Struthio camelus: one gene and its partners. The protein of the gene in region 4 interacts with the protein of the main gene of each other region in a biochemical or structural test. Links are inferred from orthologs where the notes say so. Each region holds a gene or a part of one and is shown on either strand. Other genes may lie near its edges. The genes, in order: HIF1A, NR0B2, GTF2I and HDAC3.

The links.
Region 1: the proteins of HDAC3 (region 4) and HIF1A form a complex in vitro, tested with the Homo sapiens proteins (2 studies listed by BioGRID). The link is inferred for Struthio camelus from reciprocal best matches to the Homo sapiens genes HDAC3 and HIF1A.
Region 2: the proteins of HDAC3 (region 4) and NR0B2 form a complex in vitro, tested with the Homo sapiens proteins (2 studies listed by BioGRID). The link is inferred for Struthio camelus from reciprocal best matches to the Homo sapiens genes HDAC3 and NR0B2.
Region 3: the proteins of HDAC3 (region 4) and GTF2I form a complex in vitro, tested with the Homo sapiens proteins (2 studies listed by BioGRID). The link is inferred for Struthio camelus from reciprocal best matches to the Homo sapiens genes HDAC3 and GTF2I.

The regions. Positions count from the first base shown.
Region 1 is NC_090946.1:76,628,082-76,635,848, reverse strand, and holds the start of HIF1A (hypoxia-inducible factor 1-alpha), read left to right. Parts: upstream 1-4,765; 5' UTR 4,766-4,993; coding exon 4,994-5,028; intron 5,029-5,324; exon of another isoform or gene 5,325-5,624; intron 5,625-6,717; exon of another isoform or gene 6,718-7,067; intron 7,068-7,767.
Region 2 is NC_090964.1:6,805,160-6,812,901, forward strand, and holds the start of NR0B2 (nuclear receptor subfamily 0 group B member 2), read left to right. Parts: upstream 1-4,739; 5' UTR 4,740-6,250; coding exon 6,251-6,794; intron 6,795-7,294; coding exon 7,295-7,575; 3' UTR 7,576-7,742. Other genes in the region: nuclear migration protein nudC, read right to left, coding at 2,786-2,863, 4,374-4,469. UniProt on the Homo sapiens protein: Transcriptional regulator that acts as a negative regulator of receptor-dependent signaling pathways. Specifically inhibits transactivation of the nuclear receptor with which it interacts.
Region 3 is NC_090957.1:12,519,364-12,527,185, forward strand, and holds the start of GTF2I (general transcription factor II-I), read right to left. Parts: upstream 3,001-7,822; 5' UTR 2,637-3,000; intron 1-2,636. UniProt on the Homo sapiens protein: Interacts with the basal transcription machinery by coordinating the formation of a multiprotein complex at the C-FOS promoter, and linking specific signal responsive activator complexes.
Region 4 is NC_090954.1:22,011,238-22,019,146, reverse strand, and holds the start of HDAC3 (histone deacetylase 3), read right to left. Parts: upstream 3,009-7,909; 5' UTR 2,915-3,008; coding exon 2,860-2,914; intron 1,032-2,859; coding exon 949-1,031; intron 1-948. UniProt on the Homo sapiens protein: Histone deacetylase that catalyzes the deacetylation of lysine residues on the N-terminal part of the core histones (H2A, H2B, H3 and H4), and some other non-histone substrates.

The DNA of each region.
Region 1 (7,767 bases), on a different chromosome or scaffold from region 4:
CAAGGGGAGAGAAGATTGTGCCTAGTTGCAGGCTAGCATTAACAACTGTGGATCCCCAAGGCTTCATTCAGGTCTTTGACCACAAACTCATCTACTTCTCTGAGGATAATTTAAAAACTTCATCCTCCTTTCGGTCCACATCAGGAAAACCACCATACCATTGGCAATCTCTGTTGAGGAGCGGCCAGGGTTGGCAGGATGTAGCTGACTGGCGAACCTGCATGACGTAGCCCACCGAGTGCCTGCACGCCTCATGCTTTCAGCTGGTGAAGTCCTTCCTGGGTAGGAAATCCTTCCCTCAAATCTAATTATGCTGAATTGGACTTAGTGCTTTTACTATACTGCAGAATGTGTTACCTCCACTGGGGCACTTTTCTGTGCAGAAATCAAGGTGACTAGAGTCTTTCCAAATGCCTAAATGCACTCTGACAAGCAAGCTTTAAAAGGTGCTCATCGTTTAAAAACATTATTTTGATTTTGCAAAGGGGAGAAGAAGAAGAAACAAGATCCTGGCCTAAGAAGCAGAGGAGAAGCTCTACAAATCAGAAGAGACCAGTGGAAATCACAGTTGCCAAAGAGAGATATTGTCTCTCATCACATACTCTTGTTTCAGACAAAATTTCACATTTGAGAAACAGCGGCATTCACTTTTCACTGTTTTGGTGACCACTGGTTTGGTTCAAACCAAGCATTTTAGTTGGAATTCAATCAATAATGATGGATACAACAATAAACCACCTTTCTATTGTGAAATGAGTTGATGATCAGAGATCTCAGGTTCTTGCATTGTTACAAATAAGAAGCCACATTAGATTATTGGCAGTCCGTAAAGGAGCCAAGGGTCTGCACAGCCATAGAGACTTGAGGGCACTTTTTTTTTCAAGTAAATGATTCTACAGGGGTGCTGTACGTATGGCATGTTTTGTGGTCAAATATCATTAGATTGGTTTGTGCGCTTCCCTTCCCCTTTAGAACTGTGCTTATTTACTGAATCAATAAATATTAATTTCCTAATCTTAATGGGTTGTACTGCCAAGTAAAAGCCCAGGGAAGCCAGTGCTGCAGGGGGTTGTTGCAGAGGCGTCCCAGGAGTCACCAAACCAAGTGACTTAAATGGAAGGAGTCCTTACTTCTTGCTAAAATCCTCCACCTGGTAAGTCCAAGCTCAGAAACTTGAAGTGCTCTTAGCAGAGAAGATGCTTGAGAAAAATGCAGGCCCTGGTCTTATTCCCACTGAAGTTAGCAGAAGTTTTGCCACTGAATTTTGATGGGGATGGGATTGGGTCCTGAGACAGCTAATGTGTACCGTGCCCGTCCTGGCAGTGTTTCACCTATCAGCAGACAGATCTGAAGCCATGGGCAGTAGCGTATCTCGCATCTTCATGTGGATCTGTGCTGCTGCTGGATTCCTTCTGCTGTCTTCGCTGAGCCTTTTGCTGACTCATCGTCTTGCTGGCTGTGAATTTGTCCCAATTAGTCATATGCAAACACTATTTAATACAGGAAGTTGTCTTAACGTAAGTTAGAGTATGAACTTAGTACACCAATAAAGGTCAAACAAAGTGACTAAGGCATTACCTACTGTAATAAGTTTCTCTTGTCAGGCACTGGCAAGACGGGAAAGAAAATATATGCAGAATATTAGAGGAGTGACTCAAAAGTTCAGTAAGGGGAGGGTGAAGGGAAGGGAACTTTTGCTTAATATCTCTCCAGAGCTGCTACAGTACAAAATGTTTAATCGTGGAATGAATTTCCAGTAACATCATCCTGAAACACTACTGGTTTTTGATGCAGAATTCTTTATTACGGGTTGGAGTAACCATGTTCGGTATGAGAGAAATGTGCCTAGTAAGGAGACCACAATGCTTACTCACAGCTCCTCAGCCAGTTCATGCTGGGAAGCTCGAAAGCCTTGAACAATTAACTTGAGCAGTGTTAGTAATTTGTATACTGAGATTTTTCTGTAGCGTCTTTTACTCTGGGATTGCTAACACTTCCAGAGCCTTCGTGCCTGTATTAATTAAAATGATCACAACCTAGCATGAGACTATTCAATGAGGAACTGTTTCAGTGTATTGCGCAGTATGTAAATTTAGATAATGGCAATAAAGGTGTACAAGTGAATCCTAAGATGTCACTATTTATGGGCACCAAAATTAATTGTTAATAAAATGAGTGGTTGGAGGATTGAAAATAAGAGCCCATTGGGTAGGACGAGCTGAGGTCTGTAGCTTTACCGCTAGGCTGTCCTGGCCTGGGATCACATCGGTGCTCGCACTTAGCTCCCTTTAGAAGATGAAGGGATAAGAGGTTAGTGGAAGGACTGCAGTGGAAGTGCAACGGAGGCTTTCGCTCCTGTGTGCGGACCCCTTCCTCCTCATGCGCGGGTTAGAGACGCTGCAAAGGCTGCTCAGCATGACCTGCCGGCCCCCTCTGCGGTGCAGCAAGCACCTCTATTAGCAGCACTTCGCTGCCGAAACTCCCCCGCTGCGTCCCTGGGGCAGGGGCTCTGCAGGGGGGTCGGGGGAGGCACCGAGCTGGGAGTGAGATTTCGGCACCTGCCAGGAGATCCGCCGTTTCACCAGGAGAATTCCTTAGGGGCCGTCACGGTGGCTTTGCGACCGTGCTAAAACAGCGCGAGGTTGCTGCGCGCGAGCGACTGCGTCCCTGCGCTTGAACCGGCTGTACCTCATTTTCAAATACGATGTGTCCACGAGCGCTTGTGCGGGGCTTCTTGGTGTTTATGCAGGAGACCTGAGTTTGAGTCTTGCTCTGATTATTTCTCTTCTTGAGGCTCCACTGAGCAGAACAACAAAAATATCAGCAGTCTACAGCCACACTGCCACGGGCTATCGTGTTGTCACTTCTCATAAGCTAAGCAAAGCTGGCCTTTGTCTGTATTTGCATGCGAAACCTTAAAGGGATAAAGGGAGTCTGTAGCACATGTGTCTCTTCTGTGTATCAGATTGCGGCAGGCAGGAGCAATTCATTTCACATAGAAACTCTCTGTGATTTCTATTAAATGTCACGGTCATTGCCTTTTCTTCAAAAGAAATTACAAAAAACCCCCACGGTTGTATGCAAAAATGACTGTTTGTTATGTGAAAGTTCAGACCCCACTGCAGAAATGTTAGCGAGATACAGTCCTGAAACGACATCGTTTTGCCCTGCAGGTGTTTCTTACAACATTATAAATGCATACAGCAGTGCAGGGTTGTTACCTGTGCCTGTCAAAGCTTATTTTTAAAGGGTATCATTACCTTTGCGCTATGAACTGAACAGCGTCGTATGGTTCACCTCTTTAGGATCACTTAACTTCTTGTTGGAGGAAGCCTACCAGACATGAAGTAATCTCCAAGCTCTAGAGTCCCTTCACTTTGAACTGCACCTTCACCTACTCCACAGAACCGGAAAAGTAGATGACTAAGGCACCATAGCTAATGTTGCTGGGGAGCCTCTAATTTTAAATGCGTGGACTCTGGCCGTGACTTTCCTCCCTCCGCGCCGGCCCAGCTGCGGCTCGCCGGTGCGCTGCCTCGGTCTGTCCTGGAGGTTACTTGCGAGTGTCTCTATCGCCGTGTTTATGTAAGGCTCCTCCATGAAGCTTTTCCTACGTTAATCTCTCTGACAGCAAAGCTGTGGCATTGTATTCCGGCCGGGGCTTCTGTGTTTGTCTCACTTTGATTGTAAGTAAGTGCCTTGTAAAAAAAACAAAACAAAAAAAAAACAAAAAACCCCCCTAAACCCTGCATCCTTTTTGGTGCCTGTTGAAGTAGCGTGCGCTTTCTCAGCTTCGGATAGAGGCATATAGGTGCTCCGCACGGCCTGTTCAGCCTCCCAGCCGGGAAGGCCGCTTGGCTTTTTTCTTCTTCTTCTCTTTTTTTTTTTTTAAGTTGTATCTGTCCCTCTGGCCCACCCCACGATGTGCTTATTCTCTTTAATTGATCTGCGTCTTTCAACGCATTCGCTTGATACGGCCTGGTCGCGTTGCTAGCAAACCTTCGGGAAACGGGAAGGAGTTAGGAACTGGACAGGTTTCTCGCTACAAAGAGGTGGATAGGGCAATAAACGTGCGACCGTGCCAGTACAACGGCAGGGACCGCAGCGTGATTTGGGGCGGTTTTGTGCGTGCGTGCGCTATAGGGCGGATTAGCGAGTCCCACCAGTGACTGCTGGTCGCGGCGCGTAGGAAACGCGGCGGAGGAGACGCAGGCCCGCCGTGCACGCCGCGCGGGGAGCTGGCGGCTGGCCCGAGCGGGCCGGTGCGGGGCACAGCGGGGGCAGCCCCGGTTTGGGGGCTCCCTGGGCGGGGGGGAAGGTCGGTAGGTAGGGCACGGCCAGAACCGCGTTGGAAACGCCAAAACACACCCCCGCGGCGACGGCGCCGGGGTGGGAGCGGGGGGGAGGAGGGGGAAGGATACGACACAACAGGCAGACTTCCCTCGTGAGGTTAAAACGAGCGGGGCCAGCGGCAGCCGGCGAGGGCGGCGCGGGGAAGAGCCCGCCTGCGCCCGGGGCCGCGGCGAGGCGGGGAGCTCGGAGGGGAGGCCGGGGCGACATGATGGAGGCCGGCGCGGCCCGCCCCGCCCCGCACACAGCCCTCCACGTGAAGCGCCGGCCCCCGCCCAGCTGTTTGCTCAGCTGACCCCGCCGGCCCAGGGGGGCCGGGCTCCGCCGCGGCTCCTCACTGGCGCAGCGCTGGGTCCGGGCCGGCCGAGCCCGCCCCCAGCCCCCGCCGCCGCCGTCTCCGTTTCGGCGAGCCCCGCGCCGCCCGCCTCCCACAGCCGCCGCCGCTGCGCCCCGCGCCGGCCGCACCTCGCCGCAGGCCCCGGAGCCTGCCCCGATGCTTTGAGCCCGCGCCGCCCCAGACCCGGCCCCTTCCCGGCCGCGCCGCCATCTCCGCGCCCCTCGGCGGCCATTGGAGCCGCCCGCCTCGCGTTGTGAGAGCGAGCGAGCGAGCGAGCGAGCGGGAGGAGAAGCCAAGGCGGCCGCCATGGAGAGCCCCGGCGGCGTCAGCGACAAGAAAAGGTAACCGGCCGCCGCCGCCTGCCCGCCCGGCGGCCAGCCCGGCCCGCGGCCCCGCGGCCCGGCTCTGCCCGTCCCCCTCTCGCCATCCTTCGCGCGGAGCCGCCTCCCCTCGCCGCTCTCCATCCTCCCCTTTCTTCTGCCCCCCGGGCACCCCCCCTCCTCCCCGCGCTGTTATCGCTCCCGCCGTCCCCCGTTTCCCCTCTTCTTCCCCCTTTTCTCTCTCTCCCCCCTCCCCCGGCCGCCCCGCGTTCCCCCTCTCCCCGTTCTTCAGCCCGTCTCCGCGGAGAGCGCCTCACTCTTTCATTCCTCCTTCTCCTCGCTGTCCACGTCGCCATTTTGTCGGCGGGGGGAGCGGCGCGGGCGGCGGGCGCCGGCCCCGGGGACGGGGGGGGGGGGTCTGGCCGCCCGAGGTTCGCCCTGGGGGCGCCTGCTGGGCCCCGGCGAGGCGCGCGGCTTTGTGCCTCCGGCTGCTCGTTGTTCGGCCGCTGCGCCGAACCCGGCGGCAGTTACGCTCGGCGCATTGTGTGCGGCTCCTCGTTCCGCTGCCGGGCCGAAGCGGGCGGGCGGGCTGGCGGCTCTCACCGACTGCAACGAAATCCCGGCCCGGCCCGGCCCGGCGCGGTCCGGCCGGCGGCTCTGCTGCGGGTCCGGGCCTTCGGGCCGGCCTGGAGGTGAAGGGGGCACGCCCGAGTCCTTGGATGTGCTAAGGACCCTCGGTGGCCCCCGCAATAAACGCATCCCGATTAGTTCTTCGGTGTTCTGGTTTGTCTTGTTTTCTGTAGGATGGTGAATTAAATGTGCTTGCATAAGTAATTATAAGAGGGCCTTAAAAAAAAAAAAGGGGGGGGGGGTGTTGGTTAAGGCCAGAGTGGCAAAAGGAAGATTTATCAATTTGGTTCAAATGCTGTGGAAAGTCTGAACGTGTTTTAATGGTCATTTGCTGACAACGACTATGGGTTTCTGTACTTGTTCCTAAAAATAAGTTGTTAGGCATTTTTTATTTTTATTTTTTAAGATGGCCACTGAAACTTTGATTTTTATTTTATGTTCTGGTTTTGTTCAGAAAGGGAAGGTTTTTTTAGAGCCTTGGAAGCTTAAGCTTTAAAAAAAAAAGGGAGTGGGGGGGCAGAAAGAGGGCTGCTGAACAATGTAAGTTGAGAAGTATGAATAATTCACCAAGGATTGTTAGCTCAAATTAGAAAGAGGGGGAAATAAAAGCCTTAAAAGCTTTTGTTGCATTGCAAAGTTACAGAGTTGGAGTATTTAGGTGATCAGATTTTTAGACTGGATGTTCCACCAATGTGCTTTGTGGAGGGATTAATTGGTGTAATCGCCATCTGCAGCAGACAGTGTTTGTTTATGTTGATATTGATACCATTTTTTGAGATTGGTTATCTCTGCTCTTGTATCAAAGGGTCATCTGAGTAGGTTAAATTAGTAAAGTATATAAATTGTGTTGGATGTGAGACTGAGTAACTGACTTCTAAAATGGATGTTTAGCTTTGTGCCGAGCTAGAACTGTGAATTCAGAGTGTTGGGCTTGTGAATACAGAGTGCTTTACCTCTAGGACTGTATCGTTGTAATGATTATTTCAAGTTATTACAGTGGGGTAGAGGGTGGAGAAGAAGCAGCTTTTAGTCTAATGAAATATATACTGTGGGGCACCTGGGGTGGTACCAATTCAGTAGCCTTTGTTTTTTCAACTGAAAGGTAATAACTTCTGAGAAGCCTTGGAGAAAATGTTGCAACAGAAATGAATGTTCTATCCTTTTCTCTGCTGGCCTATTTTAGTGGCAGGTCTAGAAAGGGGTTTTGAGACTTAGCTTTTTCTCTGTTCCTGTTTTTTTTTTTTTGTCCTTGAGCATTTTTTTTTTTTTTACTTACCGTTCTGTCCCACTTGGGTACTTTTTTGCAATTTCCTTATCCTGGATGTAATCTGCTTTCTTTAGAACGTAAGAATCAGTATGCATAGCTTATCCCTTCCTTCCTAAAGGCAGAGCTCAAGAAAGAGAATTTGGTGTTTTCTGCATCCTGAAGGGTGAGTTAAAGGTTGGGAATGTTTCTTATAAAGTAGTAAGGAATATTCTGACTACTTCTGTTGTAGAGTGTATTTTAATTGAAAATACCATATTGTATCTGTGGTACACTCATCCTGAGGCTGTGAATGTGCAGTAGAGCAAAGATGGCTAAGCAAAAAAGGAAGAATAAGAAAGAGCTCATCAGAGAACTTACTGCAAATCTCAAGCATTGCTCAAGAGCCTGACTTGGTTTAGAAGGGTTTAGGTTTGACTGTGTCCATGTTAAGAATATTTTTAGAGAAAGTACCTTTAGAAAGTTCCAGTCCTGTTTTTTGATGATAAAATTTTGGCTGACTGTAGATGTGGCGCACCTTAACTTTCAGCATGTGTTAAGATCATTTAATTCCTTTTCCCCTATCTGCGTGTATATTTGGGTAATATTCAGCTATTGATAGTTAGAGAGGTAAAGTGAAGTTTTTTTGCTTGCTAATTATGTGCTGTGGGATCCAGAAACTATGGAAATTTGACCAAATCTGTCTCTTATGACTTAATTTCACTTATTAATTATATAACAGCAACTGAAAGTGTGGACTGGTGTACTGCTTTGTTGAAACCATTCTTTTATGTAGTCCCAAGTTACGTAGATCTAACTTGATTTCTTATGGAATCTTAAGCACTCTGTATTTTTTGCAATCTGATTAGGTATTGGCGTTTTGGGGG
Region 2 (7,742 bases), on a different chromosome or scaffold from region 4:
CCAAATGAACTATAAACCCCAACTCACTTTCTACTGAGAAATATGAGCACATTTGTTAGTGATACTGTGTCGGGACTTTTCCCTTCATTTTCACCCTAGTCTTTTGATTGAAAAGCTAGACGGGGGAAAAATCAAAATATTTCAGTGTAACCCTGCCTAGTTCTTCCTCATAGAGGGAGCATATTTCCATTAAGACAACAGAAATATAAAGATTTTCCATTTGTTCTGTACTTTGTGCAATCTCAGCAGGTGCCTAATCCAGCCATTTGACAGCCACTCAGTATGTCTAGGAAAGCTGGTGGCAAGGAGACACGGGACCCCAGTTTCTGTACCCGCTTCTGGTTTAAGGTGATGCATGTCTTAATCTCTGAGAGTTGCAAGGCTTCAAAAACTGGTTTCAAAGCACTCCGAGTTCTCCAGAGGGAGGGCATCCAAGTTTGGCACGCTACTGCAATAGCACGCTCTCCAGATGAAGTACAACAGACCATTCCCACATCTGGGCTTTTCCCAGGCATGAGATGGAGATTCCTCTCAAATTAAGATTTAGATTACGAATTAACACAAGGACGAGACCTTTCCCCTAAAGAGATTATAAAGGTCCTTGAAACGTTGCTACTACTGCAACAACAAATGGCAGGGAGCAGAAATAGCTAGGCATTAGTTTAACACCACTGTCACGACTTACAGGAGAAATATTTGAAAAGCAAGGTATTATTTGGGAGCCAGTTCCTACATAAATCTTGACCCCAAAGATATCTCCAACTTCTCATCTTGTTGTGACTATGAAAACCAAAGTCTCAAGGTCTTTGATGCAAACGGCTGTACTGCTCAGAGGGAAAGCTGCGTACTCGGGCACGAAGCCAGAGCAATTACCCCGTGGTCAATAATGCCACCAGAACTGTGCAAAGCCGCACGTATGAGATCTAAGTTCTGCTCCACGAGACAATATAGATAAAATCTGAGAACAGAAATTAAAGCGGAGCAAACTTTCAGATAGAGGTTTCAGGCACTGGCTTACGTATATCCCAGGAACTTCAGTGAGGAATTAGCACTTCTCCAAAGTAGCTCAGAACAGCCAGGCCTCATGTAGTTTTGGAACCAACCACCAATCATTTACGGCTTTGCTTTTAAAAAGGAAAGCAGGATTTATTTACACAACTTGAGTCCAGCGTCTCCTAGGATACAGAAATCAAGACATGCATCTCCCAGCCTCTGTTCCCAACTGCAGGACAATCCACAGTGAGCAAAGCTATTCAAATCGCCCAAGTGTAACAGTGTGCGCGCACTGCATTTCCCTCAACATGTTACATCACTCCCTCATTCTACACCAGGAAGGCTTCTGAAATGGCACCACATAAAACATACTGCCTTTCCCACCACCCTCTCCTCTTTTCACATCTTTGATATCAAAGGATGAGCAGGATGGGGGAGAATAAATTCTTCAATTTTTGTTGCGGTTATTACGGTGTCAGAGGCAAGTTAAGAGACTCTTTTGTATTCATCACCTTTTCAGAGGACCACAGAGCATTTTAACAGACACCAGCCAAGGACGCTAACACTTTTCTTCTACAGATAGCACAATAAGACACGGATTTGCAAGAACAGTAGCCTGGACCTCCAACAGCATCTGTCAGTGCTAATCTCCGAAATTCTACTAAAACATAATGCTGCTTAGGTTTTCATTCCCTAGGAGTACAGAGTCCCCAGGAAATCTGGAAGATTTGCTCACTAGTCCAAGGAAAACAGCAGTAGGCGTCATCCTATTCTTACTTTGAAACCATCCACCTTCCCATCCCTTCGCTGCTTTAGTTCTTCCATTTTACAGACTAGACAGAGTATCTTATACGCAGCACTGGCAATCATCTTTGCTAACATTCAACATGGCAGCAGTTCCTGCTTTGCTGTCTGGAGAGTTCCAGTAATCCAGAAAGTTCTTTCAGAAGGCATGTATTCCAGCATTTTTCCTCAATCCTACACCACGATCCAAACTGACTATATGAGCTACAAGTATCTGACCCCCCAGTTAATATCAGCTTCCTTGTAAGACCTGATGTTATCACCTACAGTTTTAAAGCCAGGAGGGCAGGTGAGGGGCATATAGTAAACACACAGCCTCTAGACAACAGAGTCACAAAGTAGTCAGCATTCTGAAAGAAAAGGTAACTGTTGATATACTGGTAAGCACAAGCAAGAAACCTTCAGAAAGTCTCGCTAACTGATGTTTCAATGCTCTGGTCCTTATTTCACTACAAAGAAACTAGTTAGTTTTACAATTCTTGTGCTGGGTCAGGAATACCTGCTGGATATCAAAGACATTCAGTTCTCTCAGGCCAACAAGGTAGCCTCGATCCTCGGGCTTGCTCTCTGGCGTGTTCAGTCCGTACAAATACTGCAGCACAGAGACAAAGGGGCAGCAGCATGTGCAGGGATGTGGACTTTGTAATTTTTCTGAGATGAACAAACAAGGTAACCTGGGGTTATCAACACTGCAGTGTCTGTCACCGTTAAGTCAGAGCGTCTGGCAGATTTGCTTTTCAAACAGGCCTTTGGCCAGAGCGTGGCAAAAACTTGCACCATTGGTATCATTTGAACAAGCCATCATGCCTCACCTCAGATAGGGGTAGCTTATTATTACCTTGTTTCAGAGGTGTATTTCACCAACATCACAGACTGCTGGTTCCCAGGTGTATTGGGAGGAATGCTTTGAGTTATTCAGGAAGGGAAGTCTTAGCATGGCACAGAGAGTATGTAAGTTAGAATGACTTTTTTTTTTTTTTTTAAATACCTTTTCTGCTACTCCATCTTCGCCACCAGTGAAGAAATCAGTTTTCCGCCTCAGGAAACTAAAGAATGTGTTCACAAGCTGTTTGAGGAAACAGAGGGTAGGGGTTGGGGTAAAGAGGAAAAAAAAAAGAGCAATGAGACCAGATCACTCCCAGTCATCCCCTGTCTCCTCAGTAGTCTTTGTTCTTCTTTTTACTTCCTGCCTATGTCTGTGTTAGGATCATATTAGAGTCAAACCCATTACCGTTTCCCAGCAAAAAAACTGAGGACTTTTGTGGAGATCCAGCTTACGGATTCCCAATTTTCAGAAGATGCATTTTTGTGTTTTACATGAAGAAAGGGGAAGCAGTTCATTCTCAGGCCATCTTCCCTTGGAGATGCATCAACTTTGAAATCCCAAGCTGTTACTTAGACCCATCTGACGCTGGAACTTCTTTTTTAATTAAATATACACATACATGTATATAGATACACGTGTATACTATAAATTCACTTCTTTGGTTGTCTAAGCCCTCAGAGCTTGCAAACCCACCTTCCCCAGCTCTGTGACTTGTTTACTTTTACAAAAGACTAACACGTTTGCTACCCACTAACAGCCTAGAAGCAACGGATGGTGGTCTGCGCCCTGCAAGACATGCGACAAGACAGAACTGCCTGTCAGGTGTCCCTGATGAAGTAGAAGTTGTGAACTGACATACTAGAATACACCTGCAAGAAATAATCTCAATGAGTATGGTTTCTCTTTCTTCTTTTCCAGGAATAATGTCTTTGTCAGTATTTCAATCAGAAGCTTCAGTCCAGTAGGAAGAGCTGTTATTAACATCATTTCCCCAGACCACCTGTGGGTGGGGGATGTTCCCCAGAACTGTAGTAATCTAGCTGCATGTCATCACCTAGACCCTCTGAGCAGCCTCCAGCAAGAGTCACATCAGAAAATGTGAGTGCAAAGAGTATCAGTAATGCAGCTACAGTGAGGGAAGGGAAACTGTATTCATGCTTAGGCATACTTCTGCCTATTTTATGACTGCAGCCAACACATCAGGTCTCACAAGGCAGCTCTCAGACGGTCATGCTGAGAGTGTGACAGCTCGACTTGATCCTCCCCATGCAGTGTCTAGTTTCGCTGCAATACGGAGAGGGATCTGCCTTTCCACACGCCTCTAACGCCTCTAGCAAGCCAACGGTGTTAACTTGAACGAGTGCGAACGACCCACCCATAAAACGCCCCAGCTGCTCAGGGGCGACGAGACGGCCGCGGGAGGCGGCAGGAAGCCGAGGGGCATGGCCGGGGCCCCCCAGGCCCTCATCAGCACGGCGCTAATTAGCCCTTCCTCCGCGCCTCCTGGGCTCCAGGTCCCCCCGGGGGCGCCGAGAGCAGGAACCCCCAACGACGGGGCGCTGGGACACACGTGCCCACCGGGGAGGGCCCGGGGCTCCCGGAGACCCTCGTCCCAGGGAGGCCGGGCCGCGGCTGCCTCCGCCCCCTGCCTCGGGGCCCGCCCCTCCCCCACTCACTCCGCCCCCCGCCCCGGGAACACGTAAAAGCTCCCGCCACGGCCCGGGCTCGGGTCCAGGCCCGGCGGTGCTACCTCGCGCACGCCGCCCTGGTGCTGCTGGGCCATGGCCAGGAGCATGCCGTCGAAGCGGTCCTCCTGCTCCGCCGCCTCCTCCGCGCTCAGCCCCATGGTGATGGTGGTGGTAGGGCCCGCCGCCGCCAACGGCCCCCTCAGCCCCTCACGCCGGCGACCGGAAGCGGAAGCGACGCGAGCGGAAGGCGGTGCGCGAGGGCCCGCGCCGCCCGCCAATCCTGAGCGCCCGGCCGCCCCGCTCTCTTCGCGGATTGGCCTTTGCGGCGTCCAATGTGCCGCGGGGAGGCGGGACCGGCGGGGCGCGGGGTTTGGTTGCTATAGCGACGGCCGGTCTGGGCCTTTCCAGAAAGCTCGGCGAGGCCGCGTGTCCCCGGGGGGGGGGTAGGGGTCAAAGGGCAGAGGGCACGTCACGGGAGGGGGGGCTACCTCCCCGAGGTCAAAGGGCAGAGGTCACGGCCGGGGGGGGGGCCAGCTGCTGGGATCCACCCCCCCCCCCGCGGCCTCGCCCTGAGGGGGCTCCAGCCTTGGGTCTGAACCCGCCTGGTTTTGGCGTGACTGCTGCGGGCAGGCAGCCGCGCTGCCGCTCGGCTCTGTCCCGGCGCTGGTTCCGCCAGGGCTGCGAGGAAACGTCCCAGCGCTTTCTTGACCGGGGCGCGGAGGCTTAAAATTCAGCCGGTGTGAAGGGAGGTGACGGAAAGCAGCCTTGTGGAGCGCTGCCGTTGAGCTGCAAAGAAGCCGGCCCGGTCGCCCTCGGGGATCTGCTTATCTGCAGGGACCGAAGGATCCACCTTCTCTTGTGTTCGCTGCTCTCTTCCGTGCACGGCCCCTGCCTGCCTCTTGGCTCTTTTAGGTCTTCCTGCAACTCTTCCCACGCCCCCCTACGTAGGATTTCCCTTCCATTTACAGCACCGGTCTTGTAGCCAGCCTTTCTTCGGGATGAGGTGCCTTAACCCTAAGGAGGGTGAGGTCTTCTGACTCACTGGCTCCTTCCTGCTATAGAAATTCCTCACTTTGTTGCTGGACCCCTTGAAATAAGTAACCAGGTGCGGCCAGACTTTTCTAGACCAACTTCTGTTCATCAAGTGATAAAACCATCTGGCAATTCAAGGCAAAAATGTAAGAACCTGACCCTGCCCTGCCTCGTATTTCCTTTGTGACACAAGATCCTTTGGGCCCTGCCTCAGATTGAATACTATAATCTTTTTAGTTCACTGGGTTTCTCGTCCTTAACTGTGACAACATGAGTCCCTTGTCAACAAGGTTGGGCAAACATCTGCTGATAAAACGACTTCCAGGTTGCTCTTCCCAAGGCCGGAGCATGCAGGCCGTTTGCACCAGGGTCCTCGCTCCAGACGAGTGCCGTGTGTGTGTGTGTGTGTGTGAACTTCTTGGCAGTGACACCTGCCGTATAGTGCTGCCTGATTACACGGCGGGGCCTTGGTGCCATGGTACAGGCTGGGTTAATGACTTTGTTTAAACTGTTTGGGTAATCGTGATAAGGCCGCCCAACCTGCTGTCCTGTCCCCGCGCTGCTGGCCCCGCTGGCACTTCATTGAGAAAACGGCCATTGACGCCATGTGGAGAACTCGTTTGTTCCAGCCAATCAGTCCAGGGATGGCTGTTTTTTTTTTTTTTAATGAGGACCGCTTAATCACAGAGCGGTCAAGGCTATGAAGGGGTGTTTCACTTGTGACTGAGCCTTATAAGAAGAGCTGGTTAAAACAGCTATGGGCTGGCAGAGCTGGGAGGAGAGACTGTGCCCGGGGAGCTTTGATTGCCGCAGGGGGTTGTGACAGTGCCCTTCTGCTTTACGGATCTCCCTCCTCTGCTGCAGCAGGAGCTGAATTTTGCTGAGGATCCAGGCACCCAGCTCGGCTATGACAACCAGCAGCATGGACGTGGACTGCAAGAGGTGCCAGTGCCACAGCGAGGACAACCGCACCGCCATCCTCTACACCCTCCTCAGCCAGAACTTGAACCACAGCCGGGTCAGCTGCAGTCCAGCCCACCAGCGCTGCCTGTGCCACCAGCGCCGGACCGTCTGCCTCCGCACGCCCCACGTCACCTGCCAGGCGGCCTCCAATGTGCTGGTGAAAACCGTCAGCTTCATGAAAAACCTGCCTTCCTTCCAACTGCTGCCCCGAGAGGACCAGCTCTTGCTGCTGGACAGCTGCTGGGTCCCCCTCTTCCTCCTGGGGCTGGTCCAGGAGATGGTGACATTTGAGGTGATGGAGACCCCAGCCCCCAGCATGCTCAAGAAGATCCTTCTCGATGGCCAAAGCAAACAGCAGGAGCCCGAGCGGATGCAACCCACGCTGGCCGCGGTGCAGCGGCTGCAGTGCTGCCTGAACACCTTTTGGAGACTGGATCTGAGCCCAAAGGAGTATGCCTACCTGAAGGGCGCCATTCTCTTTAATCCTGGTGAGTGTCGAAGCCTCACAGCCCTATCTGCTGGTGGGGAGAGAAGGCCCCGCAAGCATGAGCATCTAGAAACACATTTCGTGGCTTGGACTGATTCAGAGCACGGGCAGGAGGAGCTGTGCACGGGAGAGGAGAAGAGGGCTGGTTATCTTATCATGGATACCTAGTATTACATAATGCCGTTTACTGTTGGGAAGTGGGGAGGACAGATGTTGAATGTAGTGCTAAAATCCAGGGACCTTGCCTAGCCTGCAGACAGTAAGGACCCCAGGACTTATTTTGCCAAGCATGGGTTTACCCTGTTAACTATTTTTGCTCCCTCAAAGCAAAGCTGCTACTCAGCAGCCCCAAAGTGGCTACGTCTTAGTAGTGCTGCGTCCATTTAATTAATGTGGCACTCGGAGTCCCTTCAGAGGTAGTTGAAGGGATGGGAATAGTAGAAACTGGAGCTGCTGTGCAGCCTCCTTCTTCACTGGCTTTTTCCTCCTTTCTCTCCATAGATGTCCCGGGGCTGAGGGCCTCCCTGTACATTGAGAGCCTCCAGCGGGAAGCCCAGAGAGCGCTGCAAGAAGTCCTGCGGCCCCTGCACCCCGAGGACCAGGGTCGCTTTGCCCGCATCTTGCTGATTGCCTCCACCTTGAAATCTATCCCTCCTGCACTCATCACAGACCTCTTCTTCAGGCCAGTCATCGGCAATGCAGATATTGTCGAGCTCATCACAGAAATGCTGTATGAAATAACCAGCAGGCAGCTGGCTCCTTCGTCGCGCATGGCGCTCTGAGGGACTGCGCTCGGCTGTCAACCCCACAGACGTCGCCTGCTCCCCGAGTCAAGTGTCAGAGGGCGGCAAAGTGAATCTGGGAGCAAGGTTTAGTGAGGCAGGTGCTCTGTACTTTGCAGGGAACTGGCTTTGTGTGTGTTTCGTTAAGCCTGGGGAACAGCTCCAGA
Region 3 (7,822 bases), on a different chromosome or scaffold from region 4:
TTACTTTCAATACCGCGTCCTGATGAAATTAATGAAACAATTCATAGAATCATGACGGTCACAGAAATATGATCTTCCTGTAAACCAATACACTGCCCTAAATCCCTGCTGTTGTGTTCAGAGATTGAAACTTTCATTTTTTTCTCCTAGGGCAGCCAAGCAGAAGGTTAGTAACCAAAGGCAACAGGGAAGGAACAAGGGCCCCTAACGTCCAAAGATCCTAAAGGAGACACCTGGTGCTCAGCACACCCAGTAACGCAAAAATTGCATAAAACTACACTAGAACAGCAGCATATTGCTTGGAGGAGGGGGGAAGGGGGAGTGATATGGTTCATGATATAGCTCCAAGACTCATTTAAAAAGAAAAAAAATAAGAATTAGTTCCCATTCTGCTAGGTATTCTTATGACACTTACTAACGTGCAATGACTTTCAGCCAGGTTAGATGATTCCTATCTTTGCTACCCTTAAGAAGCATTACAAAAGTAAAATGCAACTCAGACAACAGTTGCTTTAAAAGCACCTCTGATTTCTCTCATTCATAAGCCTGCATAATCATGTTTGCAAAGAGACACTTACACCTGATTTTCACTATTTCTAGATGTTCTGATATGTACAAACTTCAAAATTACAAAATTTTAGATACAATTAAAATTCAATATGTAAGTATATACCTCACTAGGCAATTATGTAAAAGTGGATGCATCACCTAATTTGGAGTAATTAAGAAGACATTAGCCATTAAGATAGAACTTCTTTCCTATATTAGAGCCAGACAGACTCAGAGAACAAATCCACTTATTTTTTAAGTATGCAGAGTGTCCTATGGCAGCTTCCACGTATTCATGAATTATAGTTAAACCATGTAAACAAAATGAAATATTAATCACAGTAGTCCCAACCACCTGGTAATTTCTGCCTTTACCACTGTAATTATATTTACTTAGTCAACATGATGATCGTGTTAATAATTATTAGTTTAGTTCTTTGTGTCCATCAACACTAACATATAATATTTGAGAAACAAATTAGTCTAAACTCTACCACTCTTTATCTCATCATAACAAAATGGTTTCTGGCACCTTTTGCAGCATGAGAAATTTTTGTCCTCACCAGCACAAGACAGTCCTTCAAACTTCTACGTCATATTGTAATGTTCACAGGGAAAAAAAGGCTCCAACAGTTCAAGGGAAAACTGAAAATACCTTTAATTCCTCCAGGGTTCTCACAAAGAGCAAATCAACACTAAGCAGCCAGATGTGTTTTAACACCATGCAAACAAAAAATTCAATCAGTTTTTAGCAAACATGTGAACCACACACCTTTGCACAAAAACTTTTAGTTCAGCTCAGACAGGTGTGACCTATATATTGATCCCCCTCAGACATCAGGTTGAGAGACTTCAGTACCAGTTCTTCACGGCCAGCTATGGAAATCCTTGCTGCGGGCTACTCTGCTGCACACAGAGAGACTTTGCCTCAAACACTTCAGCTGCCAGAAGTGAACTCTCAGGTCTCCTAGCAGAGCTCTCCTGTCCTAATATTTTTTCCCTGGGGAGCTGCTCCCCTTGACAATTTACTTGAATGTAGATTTGCCATCTGTAAGGTGAAACTTAAGCGCTAGACTGAATTCACAGTTAAGCTGCCTTGCATAGAGAAGGCAAAAAGCTAAACAGCTCAAGAGTTTAAGGGGGGTGGGGAGGAACCCTCTAGATACTATCTGCACTTCCTACCTTATATGATGGTACTACTTCTCTCCACATAGCCTAAATAGCGTGTGCTTTCCCAGGGGAGGGGGCTCAACTTTCATCCATGGACTCACATGCACAAATACACTTTTTTTCCTCCCCTAAGCAACGTCATTTGAAAGGCTACAGTCAGAAGCTAGAGGATAAAGAGCTATTACAACAAACAGGTCAGCACACTCCGCGCTTCCAATCCCAGCTGCGACTGGCATTAACAGTGAAAGCATCTGACCCTTCGATACTTTTCAGAGCTTGTCCAAAGGAACAACTCAGACCAGCCCAGCTCCAGGCAAGAGAGGAGAAGCCTGAGCCCCGCTCAGGGAGGCCGGGCTGCTCCCCAGCGAGGCCTGCTGCCCCAGCGACCCCCGCCCCCAGCGCTCCCGGGGGGGGGGGTCCTGCCCCCCCCGCCCCATTCGCATACTCCGCCCCGCCCCATCCCACCCGCACCCAATCGCCGCCGCCGCGCGCCAGGACACCGCACGTGCGCGCCCCCCCTCCAGCCAATGGGAGGCGGCAGCACCGTGGTAGCGCCCCGTCCTCCCAACGGCTGGGGGCGCGGGGGGGGGGTCGGGGCCCGCCGGGGGCGGGGCGAGGCGCGACCCGGGGGAGCCCGAGGGGCTCCGCCCCCGGCAGCAGGACTGAGGGAAGGGGGTGCTGCCACCGCCCCCCCCCCCCCCGCAGCACCTCACCCGAAGTGGCAGGGAAGGGCCGGAGAGACAGCAACACCCGCCCCGGACCGCGAGGGGCGGAGGAGGAGGAGGAGGGAGAGCCCGGGGCAGATGTATGCCCCCACCCCACCCCGCCCCGCCCGGGCCCCTCTCCGCGCTCCCGGGAGCCGCGCCTGGAGGGGACGCGGCACAACAGCCCCCCGCCCCGCCTGCTCTCCCACTCACCCGCTGCCGGGAGCGGACAGCCCGCGTCCTGCTGGCCCGAAGGCGCCGCCGCCGCCGGGCTGAGAGGGAGGCCGAGCGCGGCGGAGCCGCTCGCAGAAGCCGCTTTCCCCTCGCGCCCCGCGGCCTCTCAGCGGCTCATCGGGCGCCGGGCGAGGCGAGGCGCTGGGATGGGCCCGGCCGACGCACGGCGGCCCCCTTTTCCCCCTCGCAGTCTCTCAACCTGAACCCAGCACCGCTCACGGGGGAGGGAAGCGGGGGGGAGGTTTTTTTGTTCGAGGAGCCCCAACTGCGCACGCGCCCTCCCCTCCTCGCGGTGCCTGCCGGGAGCCGTAGTCCGGCAGCGGCGGCCGCGCCGCGCTGCGGCGGGGCGGCGGGGAGGGCGGCGGACTACAGCTCCCGTCGTGCCCTGCGCGGGAAGGGGAGGCGGAGGCGGCCCGAGCCGTGCGCCAGGCAGGGGAGCGCGGCGAGAGCGGCGCAGGTCTCTCGGGCGGGCGCGGGCGAAGGGGGCCTGGGCGGAAGATGGCCGTGCGCGGGGAAGCGGGGAGCCGCCGCCGCCGCCGCCGCCCTCGGCCACGCAGCGGGGCCGCCCGCCGCCTCCCCCGACCCCCCGCCTCTCCGGCGGAGGGGCCCGGCCGCTGCCTCCCCCGCGGAGGGAGGAAGGGGCCTGGCGCCGCTGGGCCTCGGCGGAGGCCATTTCCCTGCCTCGTTGCCTCGGGCCCGGCCCCAGGCGGCGGCGGGTTTGTGCCACTGACGGCGGCGCTGCTCGGCCAGCTGAGGCGCAGCCGTGCCCGGCGGGGGAGCGGGTTCAGCCCCCGGGGGTTCAGCCCTGCGACGTAGCAGCGACCGCCTCCCGGAGGGCAGCTCGGCCGGGCGGCCCCCTCCGTCTCCCAAAATGTCTCCAGCTTTATGGATAAACAGCTGCTTGCCAGCCTGCGCTGCTGTATCTTACTGCTCGAGTCTGAGCCCAAGCTGCTCCGTGTAGCAGGAGCCTTGAGTAGCCCAAGTGCTGTTGCCCCATAACGTTCATTCCCTCTATTGACTACTGCAAAAATCAGCCAAGTGTAATATAAAAAAAATCGCTCCCAAACACAGTTCTCTCGAGAACCAACACTGGCAACAACAATTTCCCTTCAAGTGTGAAGCCTGGCTTTGGTTAGAATAAACTCTAAACACAAAAATAATTTTTCCATTGCTGCAAGTTATGCTAGCACTTTTCCCCAAAGGTGCGAAGCATGACTGATAGCATCTATTTTTATAGGTCATTCATAACCAGGCAAATGTTTTAGCTGACATCACTTTTATTTGCCTGGGAATTTAGGTTTGATGGGGTAACTTTGGATGGAAAATCAAGTTTCCTTTCAAAGGGAAATGCTGTATTTGAAATTTTGTTCTGAATCAGAAAGCTGTATGCTATTAAAAATAGCAAAAAACCCACCCAATATTAAACTATTGTTTTGATAAATGTCAAAATTTTGTTTAGATTCCTGTTTTAGCTTTGATTGTGTTTATTCATTTTATTTGCACTGTTACAACGTATATAAAACCATTAACTCTATTTTGGGAACGTTAACGATTTGTTTACAGTTGGTCAAGAGGAACCACAAAACATTACGATTTCAAGTAAACTTCATTTTTAAAAGGAATTGAAAAAGGCTCAACTGAAAGCATTTAGCATCCTCCTACTTACAATAAAGAGGGACAAATAAAAATGGGGAATAAAACTCAGAATCTAACCTAACCCTCAGAAACTATCTGCTGCAAAAGTATCTCTGCAGGAAAAGTTACAAGTGTCCGCTGTTTATGGTAATGTTGAATGTCAGTTTCCATACCATCACCGTTAAGGCAATAGACTTTGTGCAAAACAAATGCCTACCCACAAACCCGGCATAGCTGGGGCAGTTTAAGACATTGTGGCACTATCAGTGGTTCCTTACCAGTTTTCTGCTGGACATCCTAACTGCTCGATTTAAATAGCGGGAAAGAAAATACAAGCATTCAGCAGTGCCTAGCATGAAACTCACTTTCATCACCACCTTAAATTAACCCGGAAGATTTTGCCCTGCAGCGTGTGTGTGATTCCTTTCTCCTGATCATCTGCAGAGAAAGGCATAACCTCTGATGCAGGACTATCATAAGTGGGGACCACAACTTCCTAAACTGCCACAACTATTTTCTAAGTAAATATGCCGGTTCTCAAAATCCCAAAATCGTTGCCAGGACTTTGTTCAGGGGCTGTGCCTCGACCCTTAACCCACAGGTATTGGCTGCTCCTGGTTGCGGGGCTGATATGTTTTTGATGCGCAGCATCGTGTCATGAGTTATAATGAGAGTCATATGCTGCATCTGATTCCTGCTGGCAAGTCCATAGTTGCCATGGCTCATTTGCTCCCATGTGGGTCCTCTGAGGAGTAGAAATTTGCTGTTTGTTTGGGAGAGGATTCTTCCCACTTCTCCATATCCTTCTCCACCACCTGACCCAGCCACATGAGCTATGGAACTGGTTACTGTTTAGGAAAAAAAAAGATACATAATGAGAGTTAACTTAAGTCATGCTTTATTCAGAATAATGTTTACCCATTGTGGTTACAAGATGACTAACTGAAAAATTAGTTCCTTAAGGCTTCTAACTCCAACAGAGACATCCACTTCCAGCCACTGGCTGTTGTAAATCAACGCTCAGACTAGAAGTAGCTTGTATGTTTTTAGTAGCTAGAGTAATTAACAACTGCAACATGCACATTACCATTTTCTCCATCACTTAAAAGCTTGGAAATCTAAGCAGCTTCTTTCTGAAAAAGACACTCGACTTTCTGCATAGCCTCCATGGAATTTTAGCAGCAGATTCCTGAATAGATTGTTACATTTAACATCAGACTAGCTAATCCAGATGTTCTTTCTAGGTTTAAAAGTCAAGGAGCAATTTCTGGAGGAAAATACTTTCACCTAAGTTCCTTGCGTTAAAGTATTTTGTATCGTTTCACTTTTCCCTCTACTACTTAACCAGCTGGGCTTCAACTACAGATTGGACAAGATTTTCACACAGCTACAAGGCAAGCAAAACACTTCTCTTAAACAAGGAAGCTGGACTGTAAAACTACAAACATTGAAAAAGAGGAGTAGACTTCAGAGTTATTTTTATCATCATTAAAAAAGACAAATTACATTTCAAGTTCATACTCTCCTTCTGAAAACAAATTGAAACAAATGCATACAATTTTTTCACTTACTCATTAGTTTTGGAAAATATTCTCTTTCATCCCCAGAAACATGTATTATTCTCTTTAGAACTAAGAAGTTTTAGGCTGTCTTTATCAGAAGGTTTTGCTGCAATACATGCAATGAGTTATAAATTTAACCTCCAGCTAAACATAGCGTACGGGATTTCAAACAACTCATATTTGAAGTTTCTGTGGGTAAATCTAAAGATTCATGACAGCTTACATCTAAACATCTAACATCTAAGAGTCCTAAAACCCTAGCAAATGCCAACTGAAACTATTGGAGTCCTTAAAAATTTGTGAAGGGGATTTATGCCTGAAGGCAATGATAGCAAGTAGAAAGCAGCCAATCTTTCACTGATCATCATGGACCTGCTTTTCCAAGCAGTCACCTCTTCTCCTGAAAAACTTCCTGCGTGTGTGGGGCAGGGCGGTTGGATCAGAGCCTAACTCTTTTCTCCTTGTATTACCTTATCTTTGTGCAGCCCAGGATACTTGCCTCAGTTTGCCGGCCTTTACTTGGTGTTTTGCCATCTCTTTCTCTAAGTGGTTTAGTTTCAGGAATCACTGCACAACCTTTGAATAGAGAGGAAGTGGGGGAGGAAGCCCCAACCTCTTAGGAAAAAAAACAACACTGCAGAACTATATTGTGTTTTACATTTTGTGCAGAAATTAAACTTCAATGTCTGGAAGCCATGTCCAAATCTAGTAGAGCCTCAGAGCATGGGAGTTCACAGTTCCCTGACGTACACTGATTCTTTTATATGTAGATATAAACTCTTCCCTTCCCCAAACTTATGTTTAAATTTCAGCTCTGCAAACAGTGTACCTCTGCTATACCCCAGGAGCAAAGTACTCTTTGTATCAGAGAACGTTAGCGATGATGGACTAAATAAGTCTGTGCATTGATGGACTATGCAACCCACGTCTTTCCAGAGCAGACCTCCAAATAAGCCTATTTCACGCTCCTTTATCAATTTTTCCTTTGTTCCAGTTGTCTAGATTCCTCTGCAGTTTTCTTTCACTAGGCTTTTCCTCTGTTAAAAAGTAAATAAAGACATCCTTTATTTTTACTTTGAACGTGGTACTCGTAATAAGGCTGGCAAACGCCTGTACAGGACAAGAATTTGGATAGTAAAAGCACTAGAGAACAAAGAAGCATTTAAAAATAATTCACCTCACGTGATACAGGATTACAGCGTTAGTAAATATGCATTGTTCCAAATATCAGGATTAAAAAAAAAAACAAACTCAAAACTTCACACTATCCAAAATGATAGGCGTCAGTGATAGGTCATGGCTACTCTCCTCAATGCATTTATTTATAGCACAAAAGAAGTTGCCTCTTTGAAAACACTTGGCAAATCTGCAATAAGATGCTTTGATGAGCACAGCAGCTAATACGGGCACTGAAAGTATCGGTGGCTGCTGAGCAATTATTCGTATCTCAAAATGAATGCTGCACTTACAGGCTCTCACGGACATTGCTGCATCACCTTGTGTTTCCCAAATCTTCCTCCAGCCGTGACAGCCAGGCAGTGAGCGTTTCTAAAATGAAAGCCGAGACTGTTGTGCACAAGATGGCAGAGCAGGAGAAGTGCCAGCATCCCGCCACCCGCTCCTGGTACCCCTCCAGCCAAGCCCGGCGCCGAGGATGCGGTCCGGCGTTGCAACAGAGGCCGAGACAGCAAAAAGTACAAAGAGATCAAACACGAAACCTGATACTTCAGGTCTAGCACGGGCACACGCCAAATTAATTCCGCTAGAGAACAAATATCGCCAGGTAACGCAGAAGCCAGCAGTGCTTCTGCCTCATGGGTTCAGCCAGTTCCTCAAACTAACTTAGGTAGGTAAAATCTTTTTTTTGCTATTAGGAGGAAATTAGATTGGGATGTTGCCAGTGAAGCTTTGTCATCCCAGCGAGGGATTTTATTTCCCCCTCCTTCCTCCCCGCCGTGCTCCGGACCA
Region 4 (7,909 bases):
ATGCTATGGGAATGGACAACAAAATGAACAAAGATTCTAGCGAAAGGGGCCTGGTTCAATTCCGCCTGTCCCAAGTGAAGTAACATATTTCAAATTAGGGGTACCACAGATTTGTAGCCATATTCTGCTATACTCAAATTAGTTCCTTTCTTGAAAGATAAGAAGAATTAAGTTTGCTTTTTGGTAATCACTACCTGCTAGTCACATTTTATCAGGTTTACACAAGTTAGACTTCAGGAAAATAAAATCTTTCTAATCGTAATGAGAGCAAAGCACTGAACTAGATTGTGTGAGCTGGTTGGGCAATAAAGACTTTGAAGACCAGGCTGGACAAACATTTAGCAGGGATGAGATAGGATTAGTGAATCCTGCCTTATAGCATCAAGATGAACTAGCTAACCCCTTGGGTTTTCTTTTCAGCTTTACTTCTCTATGATAACATGTAATCCCACAATGGTCTCTGGGTCCTTCCTAGAAGCAGCTATGGACACTGACGTTTCACTCGTTTCTCACCGTCACAGCTTTAGCTCCAGGTATGGTACTGTAAGCACAAGCTTTAACAAGGTGCCAACAGCTAATGATGACCTCATGTTAGTGAAAATGGCCAAGACCGCTTGGAGCCCTGCCTGTAACAACTCTGTTACCTGCTGTGCCACAAACGGGAGCTGAACAAGAAGCAGCAACATGAGAAAGCCCTGGAGAACTTACTAACATAGCCCAAACCTTAAAATAGAGGCTACTATTTGGAGTTAGTGGCAAAAGTGAGCCTTGAAAATTAGGATAGAGCATGGATCTCTAACACGTTTCCTGTCTGCCCAGGGGTAAATAGCTCCCTCCAACGGCTGTTTGGCCACAGCTGCCTCCCACAGCCGTGTTTCTGCAGGGGTAGGGATGAGGGTCCCACATGCCCTGCCAGAGCCTTGCTGCCCCCGGAGAAGCGATGCTTACGATCATCTTCTTGTAGAGCCCGTAGTGCAGGACTAGGCTGTGGGTCAGTGCCAGGCGATGCGGCTTCATGGGGTGCCCTGCTCCTGGAAGGGAAACAACGTGAGGAGTCACAGACCTGCACCCCTTGAGCCACTTTTCTGCCAGGGGGTGGAGGGACTAAGGCCCGTGAGCCATCCCTCTATGCTGGGCCTGGTGGGGGAGAAGGAAGGGCACCAGCTCCCTGAGCATGAATCAGTGTGGGGGGTATACCAGCCCCCCAGGCTGGGGGTATACTGGCATGCTAGGCTGGGATGGGGAGAAACATGGGGAGAACTGATCCTCCAAGACAAGATTTAGGAGAGGGAGGGGACCCTAAGACCCTCTAAGCCAGGGATGGGGAAGGGAGAGATGCACCGGCCCTCTGACTGATAGAGGGGTAGTTCTGACCCCCAAGCAGGGATGAGGAGTGTACTAGCCCTCAGAATGGGGAGAAGGAGGGTTGCACCAGCCCCCCGAGCTAGGATCAGGGTGGCAGGAGGATAAAGGCTCTCCAAGGGGGAATCTAAAGGGACAGAGAAGCTGTACCAGTCCCCTGACTGGGATGTGTGTGTGTGTGTGTGGGGGGAGGGGTTGTACCAGTCCCCTGACGGGGATGTGTGTTGGGGGGGTAGTTTTACCAGTACCCTGACCGGGATGTGTGTGTGTGGGGGGGGGTTGTACCAGTCCCCTGAGTGGGATGTGTGTGTGTGGGGGGGGGTTGTACCAGTCCCCTGAGTGGGATGTGTGTGGGGGGGGGGGGCTGTACCAGTCCCCTGACCGGGATGTGTGTGTGTGTGGGGGGGGTTGTACCAGTCCCCTGAGTGGGATGTGTGTGTGTGGGGGGGGGGTTGTACCAGTCCCCTGAGTGGGATGTGTGTGTGTGTGGGGGGGTTGTACCAGTCCCCTGACCAGGATGTGTGTGTGTGGGGGAGGGGTTGTACCAGTCCCCTGAGTGGGATGTGTGTGTGGGGGGGGGTTGTACCAGTCCCCTGACTGGGATGTGTGTGTGTGGGGGGGGGTTGTACCAGTCCCCTGACTGGGATGTGTGTGTGTGTGGGGGGGTTGTACCAGTCCCCTGAGTGGGATGTGTGTGTGTGGGGGGGTTGTACCAGTCCCCTGACCGGGATGTGTGTGTGTGGGGGGGTTGTACCAGTCCCCTGACCGGGATGTGTGTGTGTGTGTGGGGGGGGGGGGTTGTACCAGTCCCCTGACCGGGATGTGTGTGTGTGTGTGGGGGGGGGGAGTTTTACCAGTCCCCTGACCGGGATGTGTGTGTGTGTGTGTGGGGGGGGGGAGTTTTACCAGTCCCCTGACCGGGATGTGTGTGTGTGGGGGGGGGGGAGTTTTACCAGTCCCCTGACCGGGATAGTGTGTGTGTGTGGGGGGGGTTGTACCAGTCCCCTGACCGGGATGTGTGTGTGTGGGGGGGGGGTTGTACCAGTCCCCTGACCGGGATGTGTGTGTGTGTGGGGGGGGTTGTACCAGTCCCCTGACCGGGATGTGTGTGTGTGTGGGGGGGGTTGTACCAGTCCCCTGACCGGGATGTGTGTGTGGGGGGGGGGGGTTGTACCAGTCCCCTGAGTGGGATGGGGGGGGTGTCGCACCGGCCCCTGACCAGGGGCGTTGTACCGGCCGTTGGACCAGAATGTGCGTGTGCGGGGGGGTGTGGGGGTGTTGTGCCGACCCGCTGACCAGGCTGTGCCCGGCGGGAGCGCCGTACCGGCGGCTGACCGGGAAGGGGGGGCGCTGGCCCCCGAGCCGGGACCGGGACCGGGGGCGGGGGGGGGGGGGCACCGGCCCCGAGCAGCCCCGGCCCCTCCCGCCGGGTCCCTGCCCGCTCCTCAGGGCCCACCGCCGCCCCCGGCCCGGCCCCGCGCCCCGCCCTGCCCTCACCGTAGTGGAAGTTGCCCACGTCCGGGTCGTAGAAATAGGCCACAGTCTTCGCCATGGCGGAGAGGCCGGGACCGCCGCGCGCGGGCGCACGCGCGCGCCGACGTCATCGCGCCGCGACCGGTCGCGGCCCGAGCCCGCCCACCGCCGCCGCGCGCGGGAGCCGCCGCGCCGGGGCGGGGCCTGAGGGGAGGGCGGGGCTCGCCGAGCCCTGCCGGGCCTTGGGGGCGGGGCCCGGTGTGCGCAGCCGCGGTCGTGCCCCTGAGCCCCGGCTGCCCCGTTGCGTGGGAGCGGCCCTCGCTGCTCCCCCCCCGCCCCGGCGGCCCCCAGTCCCCCTCAGCTGCCCCCTAGTTACCCCAGCTTCCCTAGTCCCCCCCAGCTGCCCCTAATCACCCCTCAGCTGCCCGCCAGTCCCCCCCAACTGCTCCCCAGCCCCCCCGGCCTCCCCAGTCCCCCCCAGCTGCCCCCCAGTCCCCTAGGTTCCCCAGTCCCCCCCAGCTGCCCCTAATCACCCCTCAGCTGCCCCCCAGTCCCCTAGGTTCCCCAGTCCCCCCCAGCTGCCCCTAATCACCCCTCAGCTGCCCCCCAGTCCCCTAGGTTCCCCAGTCCCCCCCAGCTGCCCCTAATCACCCCTCAGCTGCCCCCCAGTCCCCTAGGTTCCCCAGTCCCCCCCAGCTGCCCCTAATCACCCCTCAGCTGCCCCCCAGTCCCCTAGGTTCCCCAGTCCCCCCTCAGCTGCCCCCCAGTCCCCCCCAGCTTTCCCCCAGTCCCCTAACTTCCCCAGTCCCCCCCAGCTGCCCCCAGCGACCCCCCCCGGTCACCCCACGCCGGGCTCCCTGGCTGCCCGGGGCTCGGCCCCCTGCCTCCGAGGTGCCGGCGGGACGTGGCGGGCCGCAGGCAGGCCCGGGGCGCTGGTGCCGGCCCTGCTGCCGTCGAGGACAGCCGGCGGCTGCCCGCGCTTTCCCCGAGCGGGAGCCCGGGGGGCCGGGGCTGCCCGCCCGCCCCTGCCATGGACGGGGCGCGAGGGCTCGGGGTGGCAGCCCGGCGGCGGCGGGGCTCAGCCCTTCGCTGGGGGGGTCCAGGGGCCGCGCGCCGCGCCGAACGGGGGGCGCTAGCGGGCCGGGGGCTGCCGGCGTGGCGGGGACGTGGCCGAGCCAACCTCAAACGTCCCACCCCGGCGCGGCACAGCCGGGAAAAGCCCGCAAGAAATGGGTCCTCCTGACCTCTGGCAGCGTTCAGAAATAATCAGCCCGGGTTGGCAGCGACTGGGGACAGGGAGGCACCTCGAGGCAGGCAGGGCAGCCGGAGAACAAAAGCTACGGGGAAAATTGAAGTGTATAAAAAAAACAGCGACCAGGAAAGGGGAAAAACCCCTAAACCTCCCCTGGAGAACAGGCAGGGTACACGGACACCTGCCCCAGGAGCAGGAGACCCTGGGTGGGTGAAGGAGGTGGCAAAAAACGTGTTATCACTGGAAAGAAGAAAAGAGGAAAGCGACGTGCGGCGTTTCCCAGCGGGTCAGAAAAGGGATTAGCAAGAGTGTGAAACTGGCCTTCTGTGGGGCCGGCGAAGGGCGACCTTCCTCCGGCTCCCGTGGCGGGGACGTCCCCGGAGCCCGCAGAGAGCTGGCCGCAGGAGGAGAGGGAGCAGGGGCTGCGGGAAAGGACCGACTTTCCACAGCTGCTGTGGGAAAGGACTGACGGAGAGGAACATCCCGAGAGAGAAATTAGAAGAAAAAGGGTGGCCTCTCGCTGGGGAGCACAAGAAGCAGCTTCAGATGGCGCTGATGGTTTGCAGACAGTCGCTGTCGCTGCGGCGATAGCCCTGCGCTGGAGACGGGATGCCTGGCTCTTGCAATGTAGTCCTCGCTTTGCTTCAAAGCTTTCTGATGCTTCTCTATTTTAAATTTCTGATGAGGCAGTCCCATTTTTCCAGGGCTAACACCACTGGAAAGGAAGACACAGGGAAACGCAACGGGCAGGAAGAGCCTGGGAGACCTAAAGTAGACGAAAGACTAGCCAGGAATTTTGCAACAGCTTTATTTTTGCAGCTAAACCACAGACATGACAAACAAAACATCCTCCCACGAACCCAACAACAGAAACTACTTTTCTAGGTCAAGTTCAACCTCACTGAGAGCAGAAGAGTTGAGGTCAGCAGGGAATCGGTCCTGCAGGTTTCCTGTGCAGCTGGGAAAATCTGCCCTCGTGGATCCCACTGGCAAGAGGTTGGAGATGAAGGATGCTGCGTTTGAGACATGATGGTCACGGACACCTGCAGTATAATAGGTCATGGCAGCTTCTGTAGGGTATCAGAGAGGAACAGGGCAAATGGGCAGCCCCAAAATTGGGGCTCCCTGCGGGCATGGTAAGAGGAGCAGATTCAGAATAGAGAGCACTACGGATTTGTACCGGGAGATTCCCCAGCTTCTCAGCAAAAGCATGTTCTACCTGGGTAATAAACATGCAGAAGGGAAATTGGTTGGCTTGTAGTAGCTCTTTCCCCCATGCCACTTGGGGCTGCATGTGGCAGCAGGCCTCGTGCAGACGGTACCCGACATGCACCAGACACAGCGTGCATTTCAGGGCCCAGGAGCCTAGTGTAGCCCCAAGTCAAATAAATGTGGACTTTAGTGGGCTAGATCTAAGCAGCAAGGATGTAGCAACAAATGATTCAAGTCAGCGGCGCTCTGCTCCCCGGCTGGGTTTCCACTCCAGCTGACGTCTCACCGATGGCTGATCAGTCAGCATGACGGGCTGTTTGCAGATCAGAAAGGTGCAGCGACCAGATAACAACCCCACGGGTTTGTAGAGCTACGTAAACGGCTCGGCTGAGCCACAGACCCGCCTGGCTATGGGAAAGGAGCAAATAGGTAAGAAATGCGTTCCTTCCTTGAGTATATTTTGCTTGCATGGAGACTTTGCTAGCTGAATTCACTTTCTGAAAATCAGTAACTGTTCAGGGCATTTTGACAGGTATTGGAGCACTGCAAAGAAGTCATAGGAGAAGGATATTTTTAGATACTCTTTGTGTGCAAATAGCAAAAATACGTTGCATTTTAAAGGCCATTAGCTTGCTGGGCACATTAGAAAGTCTTAAATGGTTTTAAGATTCAGGGTAATGTTTTAGGAAATGCAATTTAGGCATAGAATTTGCACAGAAATAGTGGCAATTTCCATGCTGAGCATCATGGTAGAGACCCCACAAGGAGCCTGTCCACAGGAGTTTCAGAGCCTAGAAATCTGCCCTGTTTTGTTAACTGCCACGTGGACAATCAATACGGCCAGAGCGGATGATCCACAAAATGGGTGCATTGGCATTGTTTGTGGTATGACGTGTATTATAATCACTGTAGAGAAGCCGTGATAAAAGAGCAGAAAAGCAGCAATATGGTGATAAATTGGGACTGCAGCTTGTGGGATGGTTTGTTGCATGGCGCGATGGAGCAGCGTCTCTCTGGGGAGCTGGTCACCCGAGGGGACGATGCATGTGGCTCATGCTCTCCATCTCCCTCCCTCCCCCCCTCCCTCCCCCTCCCCCAGTAACTTTCAAACCTGATGGCTTAAAATTTTAAATTTGAAATTGCTTCTGGGCAATTTCACAAGAGGGACAGAAGCCTCAAAGATCCTGAGGTTCCTCCAGGATTTATATATGCACCTGCCAGGACAGTCCACGTGAGTGACTTGGGGAGGAAAGGCAGGGGGGATCTCAGCGGTGAGTGCAGCAGGCAGGCAGCAAACAGGCAGCTGCCTGCCCGGGAGCTGTTGCTGAATTGCTGTTGGCTCCAGCGCTGTCTGATCTCGTGCTCTGTCTTAACTACTGGGGTCACAGAGGATGGGGGGAAGGAGCTGAGGCTGTTGCAGGAGTAGGTGGAAGGACAGGGGAGAGCAAGGACACAAATCCAAGGCAAAGCAGACTCTGGGCATCCTGCGACTGGTGGCACCGAGTCTTTGCTTCGTTATTTGTATTCCCGAGTGCCCAGTACAATGCGCTGCAGCCGGTGCGGCTCAAGACCCCCAGGAGGAGGAGGAAGGCAATCGACTGAGATAACGGAGCTAAGGAGCTCATTGCTTGTCCTGGTTCAACCTCCTACACCCCAGGCAGAGCCAGGATATGTCCCAGGACAGGCTGCTGTGCCTTCCTCCTTCTCCCCATCATGTGCCTCCTTGGTTTTGGAAATGCTTAGACAGCTGAGGCAGCAGGAGAATGGAAATCTTGTCTTGCAGGAGGAGGTTAAGTGAACTGGGCTTGTTTAGCCTGGCAAAAATGAAGGCTGAAAGGGGATAGGATTGCCATGCAGAAATACATCGGGTGGGCGGAAACACAAGAGAGGAGAAAGAATGATTTATTCTAAAGGACAGCGTGGGCACGAGAACAAATGGGAAAAAAGCTTACCATGACTACATTACCCTAGGGCTTAGGAGAAAGTCCAAACTGCAAGGTCCTTGGCCCAGTGTCTCTTCAGAGAAGCGTGAACTTCTTCTGAGAAGAAGAAGGCAAGGCGTGAACTGCTTCTGAGATCTTGATCAGCGGAGACTCATGTGATGTTGTAGTTTGTGGCAGCTCGCTAGACTGTGGTCAGGAGACTTCTCCTATCCTGTGTCGCCAGCAACGCGTGGCAGGATCAGGCCCAAAAGGTCTCCCACTGCCCGTGGTCTTTTCTTTCCGTACTGGGACTATATTATGGCCGTGGCCTGTCTTCCAGCCAGGATAACAGACAGAAGAATGGCACGTATGATGTGCTGTAACCTGGTGAAGTCATGGGGATAAAAGAGAATCTTGGGCTCCTGAGTGTTACTTCCATGAATCGCCTGACCGCTTGTGGATAGGAACGAGGGCTCTCACCACCGCATAGATGGCTGCAAGGGGCATCTAGTCTGAATGCGTTGTGGGTTGCCTCAGCAGCGGGCAAGAACAAATGTATGCCAACACTTCCCTTTGCTCACCTCTCTTCCCCATCCACATGGGCCAGTTCAGCTCTGAGGGTCTTTGAGATGTAAGAGGTTCAGCAGTTGTGTTATTTCTGCCCTCCTAACTTTGACTGTGTTCCTGA